Elephas maximus indicus: one gene and its partner. The protein of the gene in region 1 interacts with the protein of each later gene in a biochemical or structural test. Links are inferred from orthologs where the notes say so. Each region holds a gene or a part of one and is shown on either strand. Other genes may lie near its edges.

Region 1 (5,979 bases):
GGATGCTGCCATTGGAAAACAGTCTGGCCGTTTCTTCAAAAGTTAAATATACATTTACCATATTGTTACCCAAAGCAGGTGCTGCTCGGTGCGACTTCTCAATAAAGACACGCCGAGGTGAGGAGCAAGGAAGAGCGTCTATTGCAAGCATGCAAGCAAGGACCGAGGAGGTTATCCTGAAATCAAGCTCGCTGAGCGAAGACAGGCAGAACATTTTATACAGACTCTTGCAAGGAAGTACATGCAAACGTTATGGACAGCATAGGTTATCATGGCACCCAGGCACAATTAGACAAATTGCATTTTTTTCCTCTGTCATGTAGGCTAGTAAACTGGCTTTGACTGGCTTGAGCCGCACCCAGTGCTTGGAGTACAGTGGACAGGAGGGACGGGTTTCAGCTGAGCCACACCCAGCATCTGGCTATCTTGACATGATCCAGTAACCTGACTCTTAGGTATTTACAGGAAAGATATAAAACATGTTCACACAAAGGCTTGCATCCAATTGTTCATAACAACTTTGTTCATGATAGTAAAAAAATAGAAAAGACCCAAATATCCATCAATGAACAAATGCCTAAACAAACTGCGATCTACCCACGTGACGGACTACTACTTCGCAAAAAAAATGAACACATTACTGATATTCACAGCACCACGGAGGAATCTCAAAAGCATTCTGCTACAAAAGATTACATCCTGTATGGTTCCATTTATATGAAATTCTGGAGCCCTGGTGGCACAACGATTAAGCGCTTGGCTGCTAACTGTGACATCGGTGTTTGGAACCCACCCAGGGGCTCCGCGGGAGAAAAGACCTGGGAATATTCTCCCATCAAAATTACAGTTTAGGAAACCCTGGAGTGCAGTTCTGCTTTGTCACATGGGGTCGTAATGAGTCGGAATCAACAACGAGGACGACATAGTGGCAGTAAGCAGAGCAGTGGTCGCCAGGGGCGGGGGCTGGCGAAGGGGATTGACCGCAAAGGATTTTAGAAGAGAACTTTTGAGGACAATGGAAATGTTCTTTATCACAGTGGTGATCATGGTCGTCAACTGTAGGCTTTGTCAAAGCTGAATGGATGTACACTTAAACTCCATGCATTTTATTGTTACGTAAATTATGTCTCAATAAAGAAAAAATGTGTGTTTGAATCCCAGCACTTCTTCACCTTCCAGCTGTGTAACCTGGGGCAGAGTATGTAACCTCTCTGTGCCTCCACTTCCTTATCTATTGCAGGGATAAGAAGAGCAGCTGCTTCCCAGACTGGCTGGAAGGATTAAGTGAACTCATCCCGGTCAAAGGTTTGCAGTGGAGCCTGGCTCAATAGATACTGGAGTCCCTGGGTTCTGCAAGGAAACCCCGATGGTGCAGTGGTTAAGAGCTATGGCTGCTAACCAAAAGGTCGGCAGTACAAATGCACCAGGTGCTCCTTGGAAACCGTATGGGGGCAGTTCTACTCTGTCCCATAGGGTCCCTGTGAGTCGGAATCGACTTGATGGCAACGGGTTTTGGTTTTGGGTTGTGCAAACAGTTAACGCATTCAGCTGTTAACTGAAAGATTAGGGGTTCGAGTTCCCCCACACCCGGCCATCTGCTCCCAAAACATCAGCCACTGATGGAGCACAGGTCTACTCTGACGCACATGTGGTCGCCATGAGGAGGAGTTGACTCCTTGTCAACTGGTTACCGGTCAAATATTAGCTATTATAGTCAGCACTCCCGCGTTCGGTGAGACGGAGCAGAAGCAAAAAAAAAAAAAGTGTCTCCAACAGCACCCAGCCTTTCTCCAGCAGCGCCTTGGGAATGGCTTCCCTGCCAGATTAGCCTCCAATGGTACCACCTTTGGGCCCTGCTTTCTTGAGGCCTCAACAGTCTTCTTATCAGAACCGAGCCAGCCCTCTCCCTCCCCGTCTCCCTGAAGCTATCATCTCACACCGCCCCTCCCCTCCCCCTCCTTAAGCACTTCCTTTTGGGGGTCTCAGGAGGTTGGAAAACCTTTGAGAGCCCAGGGGAGCCGATATTGGTGCTGGTTCTGGGATACGGCCTTGGGACTTTAAATTCCGCCTGCCTGGACCCCGCTCTGTCTGTCCCTAAAGTCTCCCCCAGCCCCCCCACCACATCTGCTGCTGCCCCCTCCTTCCCTCCCCCAGCACAGTGCCTGGCACATTGGTCCAGCTTGGAAGGTTGTCTAAATTCCGAAATAGTCATCCCTGTCTGGCTCTGGGAGTTGCTGCAGGTTACCAATTCAGCCAGAATCCATCCTTGGACTGCTGCCATTCCCAGCACCCACACTGGAGCTGAGAAAAGGAAGGGGCCCCAGGGACTCTGCGTGGCAGCCAACCCCTGGAGAAACACAGGTCATGTGATTCCTAGAAATTGAAACTGAACAGTTTCCTGAAGCATTTCCTGACCACGCTCCACACAGGAGGGTTTTTGAGCCCGAGGACAGGCCCACAGCAGGCTCCTGCAGCGGGAAGGCACAAGGCTCCAGGACAGCCACAGGAGTTACCTGGGCAGGTAAGCACCTGTCTCTCCTTGCTCCCAGGTGGGCACCCTTCTCTCTACACAGTGGGGGCCAAGCATACTGTGTACACAGACCCGGGGCTAGGGGCAGGGTGCTGCTCCCAGAAGATCCGCAGGGCCACCCCATACAGTTGGGCAGACTGTTCACTGCACGAGGCACCAGCCAAGGGGGCAGTGGCAGGGTAGCCTCTCACAGTCTGCGTGCTACCCTGACCCACCCGCCCGCAGGAAGCGCACCTTTGCCTGGTTTGCAGGCAGGTGACTTCCCACCACGCATTCACCTAGGGCTTGATTGGCCATTTCCTCATGGCCCTGAGCTCCTGTCCAGGCTATCCTAGGAGCAGGGCGGGTGACCAGTTGTTCTGGTGTGCCCAGTCACCTGGCCCTTCAGCCGTCTTCTGAGAAGACTGCAGTGAATCGAGGTTTGCCTTACTCATTAGCCTGTTTCAGTGGCTTTGCTTAGAAGCTTGTTAGCTATAAGACGTTTCTTGGTCACGGTCAGGATTCTGTGAGCTTGTGCTTTGAGCAGGGCTGGCACAGGTCACCCCTCAAAGCTTCCTGTGCCCCCTGGGGGTCTTATAAATGCAGGCATCCATGCCACATGTTGCCTCCAAGGTCACCAGGCCCTGATCTTGTCTCCGTGCTCAGCAGTGCCACAGTGGCCTGGTCCTTGGCCTGGTCCTGGGCTTGCTGGACAGCAGAGAGCAGTGCTAGGGGGCATCCATGATTCTTGCTGGGCCAGAGGGACGGTGACCTGTCCGGCCCGTTCACATGCACAGGATGTGGGGTGGGGAAGCAGGTTAGGATGTAGCCGGGGGCGACAGGCTGCTGCCAATGATGGAACGATCAAGAGTGGAGAAGAACGTGGAGACCAAAAGCCTGGTCCTCCCCAACCTTGCCCCCGCTGGCTGAGTGGCCTGGTGGTTCCACATCCCCAAGCCTTGGCTTCATGAGACAGTAGGCCAGCTGACCTCAGGGGGTCAGCAGCACCATGTCCATGCCGAGCCTGCTCACCATACTCCCCAAACCAGGGGTGGGTTAGCCAGCAAGCGCAGTAGGCGCTGGTTTGCAGTAAGCGAGGCGTGCACGGGCTTAATTGTGCTCACAGACTAATCTATAGTGAACAATTTCACATGAGTTTCACCAAATCTTTGGCATGGTATAAACCAGGTGAAGCTGTTCACTACAGATTAGTCAGTAAGCACAATTAAGCCTGTGCGTGCCTTGCGATCCCCGCCCCTGCCCTGTGCCCCTGTCCTGGCTCCTAATTCGGCCCCCTCCCCCCCCACACTGCGACCCCTCCTCTCCATCACCCCCACCCAACACCACCAGCCCACACTCCTCGCTGCCAGTGTTTCAAGCCTGGACTTCTGGGGTGCCTCCCGACAGGCCCCCTGCTCTGCACGCTGCAGCCAGGGAACCTTTGTCCCCTCAGTCACTGTGGGCATGCCTGCGAGGGTCAGTCACCTTTGTACACAGCCCTGGTTTCTAATGAGACTCACCGGGCCCTCACCATCTGGGCCCTGCAGAGCCGCACCCCCTCCTCAGCCCTCCTCATCCAACACCACATGGCAGCCACACACAGGCCCAGCATTGGGAGATACCCGCTGCCTGGACCCTCCAGCCCCCCCTCTTCACCTGGCTGAGTCTTACTCAGCCTGAAGACCAGCCCTCAGTTGGGGTGAGGGCTCTGCTGGGTCCCCACCTTCCCTGCGTCTCTCATGCTCACTGCCTGCAGAGGGCCCTGGAGGAGCAGGACCCGCAGGCCTCTTGGCTCCTTCCTAGCCTGGCACCTGGGCCTCAGCAGGTCAGGGCTGCAGGGGGCATGGCCCTGCTCTGAGGACCGCCCCCCCCCACCACCGTGTCTTCCTCTGCCATAGGATCGAGGCTCCAGGTACTGCCATGGCACTCCCTGAGCTCCTCTGGATATGGCTGCTCGTCGCAGGGACCCACGGTGAGCTGAACCCCTGGGAAGACGGGAGAAAACATCAGTTAAGCAGCTCTTCCTCCATCTGAGGCTACACTCCCGCCCTTCAGAAAATGCCAGCAAAGATTCTGCTGGTGGCCTGGGTCTCCCCTCCTGCTCAAAACCCCAGTTGTCCCTGGTGATGGGGGCTTGTGGGTTCTGGGCAGGAGGCCTGGGCTCCCCATACTCTCCCAGCACCCCTGCGGCACCCTTCTTGTGGGCCATCATGCTGGTGTGGGGCCTCCAGGAAGAGGAAGGGGCTCCCAGTCTCCCTGTGTGACTGTCTCCAGGCCCAACTACAGACACCACAGAGAGGATCAGCCTGGGCACCCTTCCCTGCCCCTCTTCCTGCCACCTGGCCACCTCTTCTCCAAGTGCTGGGCACAAAGGGGGGACCCCAAACACAAGGCTAGCTTACCTCTGTGTTGGGGGGTCTGTGAGTATCTCCTGCTCCTCCCCAGTGGGTGACCTCCCCCGAGGACGGGCAGGGGACTTCAAAGTGGCAAAACCAGACCCCCAGCTCACTGGTCAGCAGTTCAGCCCTAGGTGGACAGAGCTGCCACCATGAAAGCACACGGCCCGAGAGCAGTGGGCAGCAGATGGGCCTAGGGTGGGGCCAGGTGCCCTCCCATCATCCTGTCTGATCTTTGCTCCCCTCTGCCCCCACGAGCCTGCAGGCCTGGAGGACGGCACCATGAGGCTGGTGAACGGGGACTCGGCTAATGAGGGCCGCGTGGAGGTCTTCTACAGAGGCCAGTGGGGGACCGTGTGTGATGACGGCTGGGACCTGGACGATGCCCACGTGGTCTGCCGCGCCCTGGGCTTCGAGAATGCCACCCAGGTTCTGAGCAATGCTGCATTCGGGCAAGGTAGGGCCTCTGCTTCCGGGTCCTCCAGAGCCAAGGCCGCAGCCCACCTACGAGTCCACTTGGAGGGCACAGCAGACATCAGTGACACGCAGGCTTTCCTCCTGCTAATTGAACATCCGCTGACGTCTTCGGTGACGCCGAAGCCCTGCGGATAGGCTTTGATGGCTCTGGCTCACTCCTTCCGCCCTGGCCTCACAAAGGCTCCTAGGCACGGGGTTCAAGCGCTCAGCCACGTCCTTCCCCTCTGGCCAGAAACCCCGCGCCTGGAGATTTATCCCCGTGAAACAGTTTCCCCCAGAGGAACATCGTGTTTGTGATTCTGAAAAATTGGAAATGATTTAAATATTCAGCAATAGGGACAGTGGCACCAATTATGGAATGCTAATTTGACATCTGAAGGGGCCCTGGTGGTGTAAACGGTTAAGCACTCGGCTGCTAAATGAAAAGTCGGTGGTTCAAAGCCACCCAGTGGCTTCGTGGGACAAAGACCTGATGGCCAGCTTTTGTAAAGATTGCAGCCTAGAAAACCCTATGGGACAGCTCTGCTCTGTCGCATGGGGTCGCTATGAGTCAGAAATGACACGATAGTACACAACAACAAAGCAGTTTGATGTTTA
Region 2 (5,979 bases), on another chromosome or scaffold:
ACCTCTGATGCTGGGCCTGGTTTCCAGATTGTGGTGAAAAACGTAGCAGCAGCTCCAGAGCCCGTGGGAGCCCAACGAGCAGACTGTAGGGAAGCACCAGGTGTCCTTGCTCCAGGTCCCTGCCTGAAATGCCCCAGGACTCCACAGGGGAAGCGCTTGCAGAGGAACACAGGAGAAAGGCAGTGGAGTGCCCCCTGTTGAGCCCTACTGAGCCCTCCCTAGACTGAGGTTTTGGGGAGGACCCGGAGGAAAAAGCGAAGCTGCTGCGGTTGGTTAGTAAGCCAGCCAGCTTGGTCTAGATGGGAGGGTACAGGCCCACAGGGGTGCAGCCCAGCCCCCTTTCAGGGCCAGCTTTGGCCCCACCAGGCCCCTCTCATCTTGCACCAGGGCGGACTTCAGTCATCTGGAGGAAGGGGCCCCGCCAGGTGGAGGCAGAGGAGGCGGGGCTGGGCGGCAGGGCAGGACAGGGCAGGGCAGGGTGGGTTTGCTGGCCCCGCAGCCAAATGTGAATCACCGCTAGGTCTGAATCTTCCTCCCTCTTTGGTGCTGGCAGCTTTGGAAAGGGGAGTATGGAGAAGGAGGTCCTCAACACCCCTCCAGCAACACTCCCCTTGACTAGTGCTCCCCACACCCCTCCCTCCACCTGGTTCCTGGGTGTGAGGTGAGCCCCCCTCCAGCCCACCCTCCACTCTATTGATAGTAATTTTCCCTGCAGCCCAAATCTGGTCCCAATATTCCCCTCCCTTTTTATAACCTACCCTATACGAAGAAGAGCTGGGCATCAGGATTGGAGGAAGATTCATTAACAACCTGTGTTATGCAGATGACACAACCTTGCTTGCTGAAAGTGAAGAGGACTCGAAGCACTTACTGATGAAGATCAAAGGCCACAGCCTTCAGTGTGGATTACACCTCAACATAAAGAAAACAAAAATCCTCACAACTGGACCAATGAGCAACATCATGATAAACAGAGAAAAACTGAAGTTGTCAAGGACTTCATTTTACTTGGATCCACAATCAACACCCATGGAAGCAGCAGTCAAGAAACCAAAAGATGCATTGCATTGGGCAAATCTGCTGCAAAGGACCTCTTCAAAGTGTTGAAGAGCAAAGATGTCACCTTGAAGACTAAGGTGCACCTGGCCCAAGCTGTGGTATTTTCAATTGCATCATATGCATGTGAAAGCTGGACAATGAATAAGGAAGACTGAAGAAGAATTGATGCCTTTGAATTGTGGTGTTGGCGAAGAATATTGAATATACCATGGACTGCCAGAAGAACGAATAAATTTGTCTTAGAAGAAGTACAACCAGAACGCCCCTTAGAGGCAAGGATGGCGAGACTGCGTCTTACATGCTTTGGACATGTTGCCAGGAGGGATGAGTCCTTGGAGAAGGACATCATGCTCGGCAGAGAACAGGGTCAGCAGAAAAGACAAAGACCCTCAACGAGGTGGATTGACTCAGTGGCTGCAACAATGAGCTCAAGCATAACAACGATTGTAAGGATGGCCCAGGACCGGGCAGTGTTTCGTTCTGTTCTGCATAGGGCTGCTGTGAGTTGGAACCAACTTGACGGCCCCTAACAACAACAGCAACATAACCTACTGTGGCTCCCCAGCACCCTCAGAAAATACAATGTCCAAGCTCTTTACCTGGCCCGCGAGGCCCTTCATGATCCAGCTCCTGTTGGCTTCCCAGCCTCACCCCCCGTCTCCCCCTACATCCCCTAAACTCCAGCCGTGCCTAGACGCTCACGTTCCCCAGGTCTGTGCTTCCTCACCTCCGAGCCTTTGCCCATGCTAGAATGCCACCTCCTTCATCCATCCTTCAAGACCCACCTTCTTGGCATCTGGACAGTCTCCAGCCCCCACGGCACTCGGGCCTGACTTCCCTTTAGCTCTCATCATACTCTTCATTTTTTTTTTTTTATTGTGGTGAAACTATACATAAGAAAACATACACCATCTCAACAATTTCCAATGGGCAATTCAGTGACACTGAGTACATTCTTCAAGTTGGGCAACTATTCCAATCTTCCTTTTCCCCAAATCATCCCAGCACCGTTGACATAAACTCACGGCCCCCTAAACCATGCTGCTTCTTAATCACGTTCATGGTTGGATTCTGCCTGGAGAGCGGCTCCATGGCAGGGACTGGGAGGGGTTCATCTTGAATCCTCAGAGGCCACCCCCGGGGCCAAGGCTTCAGGGGGTTGCTCAGTAAAACATCTGCTGTATGGATGGCAAAAGGAAGGACTGTGCCTGGCCTTGGTGGGGGAGATGTGCGTGGGGGTGCACAGAGTGGGGACCCCAGCCCCTCACAATCTGGTCCCCCTTGGGCCCCTCTCGGGCTGACACTCTCAGACAGCCTGGGCTGTCTGAGGAGCGCCAGCTGGCCCCTCACGAGGGCTGAAGCCTGAGGCCCGAGCCAGGGCTGGCGGCCTCAGGCCTGGCACCCAGCCCAACCTTTCTTTTTTTTTTTTTTTTTTTTTTTATAATCCAACCTTTCTTTAGCCCTAGTAAGGAACACAGGCAGCAGCCGCTATCTCTGCTTCCGGGGGAGGCCCGGGTGGGGCCAGGCCTCGTGGTTAATGGATCCTCCCACCTGCAGAGGCCCACAGAGCCGGCCACACCCTGGCCCCTGCCAGGAAGCGTGCAGCATCACCTACCCAAGCTCCAGTCACTGAAGGACCTGCATCCCCTCAGCCATCTTCTCTGGGTACCCCCAAGCTCAGCCTGCTGGCCCCAGGCCCCCTTCCCGCCAACTCTTGGGCCTAGCTCATCCTCAAACTATTTTCCATTGGCTTCCTGCAATCCCTGCCACAGCATAATTCTGGGGGGATGGGGTGGGATGGAGGAGGAGACTAGGGAATGGAGCTTGGACCCTGGGGGTGTGGCTAAAAAGGGGTTGAGGGGGTGTCACTCTGATTGGTCCTCTCTGCTCCAGAACTGGCTTCAAAATTCCACTGACCCCGCCTCTGGTGGCCCACAGCCATGTCCTGACCTCCAATTGGCCACGCTTCCAGGGGGCGGGACTCACCAGGGTCTGGTCCAGTTAAAAAGGTGGGAGCGGCCCGGGACCCATCTCTCCTCTCGGTGGAGTCTTCAGACAGCTGGTGCAGCGGTCCCAGGATCACCTTCTACCCTCAGCCATGGCCTGTGTGAGTGTGGGTGCCCCACCCCAAAGCCCAGGGAATGAGATGGGAGCAGTGGGCAGATCAGAAGGTCGGGTCTAGTTGTATCTGTGTGATCTTAAGCAAGTACCTTCGGTTTTCTGGGCCTCAGTGGCCATGTCTGTAAAATGGAGGTGGGTGCTATGGTCCCCAAAGGCCCTCTGGAGCTTAAGAATTTTCTGGATTTCTCTGGGGCCTGACAGCACAGTTATTTCTGCCTAGGTCTTACATTCTGCAGCTCTGTAGCTCTCTGAGAAGTGAGAGTGGAAGGGTGTGGCCAGCTGGGGGGGGGTAAGATGGCACATTGGTGACGTCCAGGCACTGTCCTCTTCCCCTCCTCCACCTCCAAGAGCCTCCTGTCCCCTCCCCCCTGCAGCTGTCTCCAGTCACCACGCCAGGACAGAGTCAGGCCTCTGCTCCAAAGAGCTCTGAAAAGTCAGAGCCAGGAGCAGAGACAGGCTGCTGGGGAGGGAGCCTGCTTGGGCTGAGGGGATGAAGGATGGTTCTGGCCCCGCTGAAAAAAAGTGGGGCTGAATTTCAAGCCACCCACTCCCTCGAGGTGGGAGGTGGGGGATGGTAAGGGAGAGAGAAGGAGTGAATCTTCCCCAGGCCCCCAGGGAAAGGGTTCAAGTTTCTGGCAGAAGGAACCACTCATACCCACTAACTCCTGCCACCCAGCCTTGGGCACCACGGGTGGCATGCTAAGTGGGAGGGCAGCTCCACCCACCCCAAGCTTCCTGGGCTGCAGATTCCGGACCTTGTTTGTGCTCCCCACTCCTTTGAAGGGCCTGGCCATGCTCCTGGGGGTCTCCCACAGGGCCTTGAAGAGGATGACGGGGAGCCCCCAGTGGCGGCCATGGCCTCTTCAGAGGGGACCCACCTACCTTCATTTACCTTCCGTTGGACCAGGTGCCAGGAGCCCTACTATCAACTGCCCATCCCAGCCTGGTTCTCGCCCTCTGTTAAATGAGGAGATGGCATAGCACCTTGCCTCCAAGGCCACTCTGAACCCAATCCCCCGCCCCCGGAGCTGAACCTTAAAAAAAAAAAAATTTTTTTAAAGCTTATAAATCCTGTTTTCTAGAAGCTCACCCAGGTTACAGATAACAGACCCTGCTGGGCGTAGGGACTTAGCCAAGGCCACACAGGTTCCCAGACTCCCTAGGCTCCCAGTTGGCCTGGTCAGAGGATGCAGGGTGGGGACGACCCCCGCCCCCCGCCTCCGCCCGGGCAACTGGGGGCAGCGGAGTCCCGCGTCCTCTAACCGACCGGGCGGGGTCTTGTCTGCGCAGGGTCTGGTCGCCAACAACCTGAATCTCAAACCCGGGGAGTGCCTCCGAGTGCGGGGCGAGGTGGCCCCTGACGCCAAGAGGTGAGGGGGCCAGGCGGGGTGGCAGGAGGTCAGGGGGCCAGGCGGGGTGGCAGGAGGTCGGGGGCCAGGCGGGGTGGCGGGCGGAGGGGCGCTGCCCAGGGTCCAGCCGGGCGTGGCTGGTCTGGGCGTGGCCGCTGCGGCTCTGCTCCTCCTCCCGGCCCGGAGGGGGTCAACGTGGCCGCTGGCCGAGGCTGCGTTTTCTGGGTGACTCACTTTCTCCGCGGGGTCTGGGCGCCCCCGCCATTGTCGCTTCCCCTCCCCCCTTCCCCCTTAAACGAAACCAGCTGCAACCAGCTGCGGCCTCGTCATCTCCCTCGGCTTGGCCCCTTCCCCCGCCCTGGGTGGGCAGGGCTGTAGCTGGAGAGGGAGGGCAATGAGAGGTGTCACCCCCAGGGCCCTCCCTCTGTGGTCCTTCCTTCCTGCGTTTGCGTTTGGTCATTCATTCGCTCAATCTTTCCTTCCTCACCCCTTCCTTCACTCATTCATTTAGCCAGCTGGCCTGTTTTCTCAGCAGCGGAGTGACCTTGGACCAGTCAGCCAACCTCATCCAGTCTCAGTTTGTTCTTCAGTGAGACAAGGGGAGGTTGTCGGCTGAAAGGAATGCGATGCTGGCCATCTCAGTGACCAGGGTGATGATGTCTGGCCAGATACCCCAGTGCAGAAACTCTTAATTCTTACCAAACCCTTAGGTTATCTCCACTCCAACAAAGATATTATTTATTCATTCGCCCCACAATTATTGAGTGCCTTTTGTGTGTCATGTAAAGTACTGAGCACCAGAGATACAGAGACATACAAGGCAGACAGGACACTTGCTCCCTCCTGCCCCCAAATGTCGCCATCTGGAGGGACTCTCTGCCCTTGAGCAAAGGCACTGGGACACAGACTAGTGTCCATGAGAGTCTTGCGGCTGTCAGCAGAGCAAGACCTTTAGAGACCCTTCTTGGCTGCCCCCATTCTACAGATAAGGAAACAGACCCAGAGAGGGGCAGACTTGCTCCAGGTCACACAGCAAGTAGGTAGCAATGAGTTCTCCCAGGTAGCTGCACTCATGGTAGCACTGGGTGGAACAATCCTACCACTTTTCCCCTAGCTTCGTGCTGAACCTGGGCAAAGACAGCAACAACCTGTGTCTACACTTCAACCCTCGCTTCGATGCCCACGGGGACGTCAATGTTATCGTGTGTAACAGCAAGGATGGTGGGGCCTGGGGTACCGAGCAGCGAGAGTCAGTCTTCCCCTTCCAGCCTGGCAGCGTCGTGGAGGTGGGCTGGGGACCGGGGCCCGGGGGCTGGGCACTGGGTAGGCTGGGGTGGAGCTGGGTTAGTGGCTAGAGGCCCAGGCCTCGCCTACCATCTCCTCCCTCACTGTGTGATCTCCGGTGAGTGTCATCCTCAGCAGCCCCACCCGCAAAGCTGGGCTGTTGTAA

The links.
Region 2: the proteins of LGALS3BP (region 1) and LGALS1 form a complex in vitro, tested with the Homo sapiens proteins (2 studies listed by BioGRID). The link is inferred for Elephas maximus indicus from reciprocal best matches to the Homo sapiens genes LGALS3BP and LGALS1.

Annotation. Positions count from the first base shown.
Region 1 is NC_064837.1:68,868,788-68,874,766, reverse strand, and holds the start of LGALS3BP (galectin-3-binding protein), read left to right. Parts: upstream 1-2,394; 5' UTR 2,395-2,521; intron 2,522-4,407; 5' UTR 4,408-4,429; coding exon 4,430-4,481; intron 4,482-5,170; coding exon 5,171-5,362; intron 5,363-5,979.
Region 2 is NC_064822.1:181,567,682-181,573,660, forward strand, and holds the start of LGALS1 (galectin-1), read left to right. Parts: upstream 1-2,982; 5' UTR 2,983-3,157; coding exon 3,158-3,166; intron 3,167-4,470; coding exon 4,471-4,550; intron 4,551-5,643; coding exon 5,644-5,815; intron 5,816-5,979. UniProt on the Homo sapiens protein: Lectin that binds beta-galactoside and a wide array of complex carbohydrates. Plays a role in regulating apoptosis, cell proliferation and cell differentiation. Inhibits CD45 protein phosphatase activity and therefore the dephosphorylation of Lyn kinase.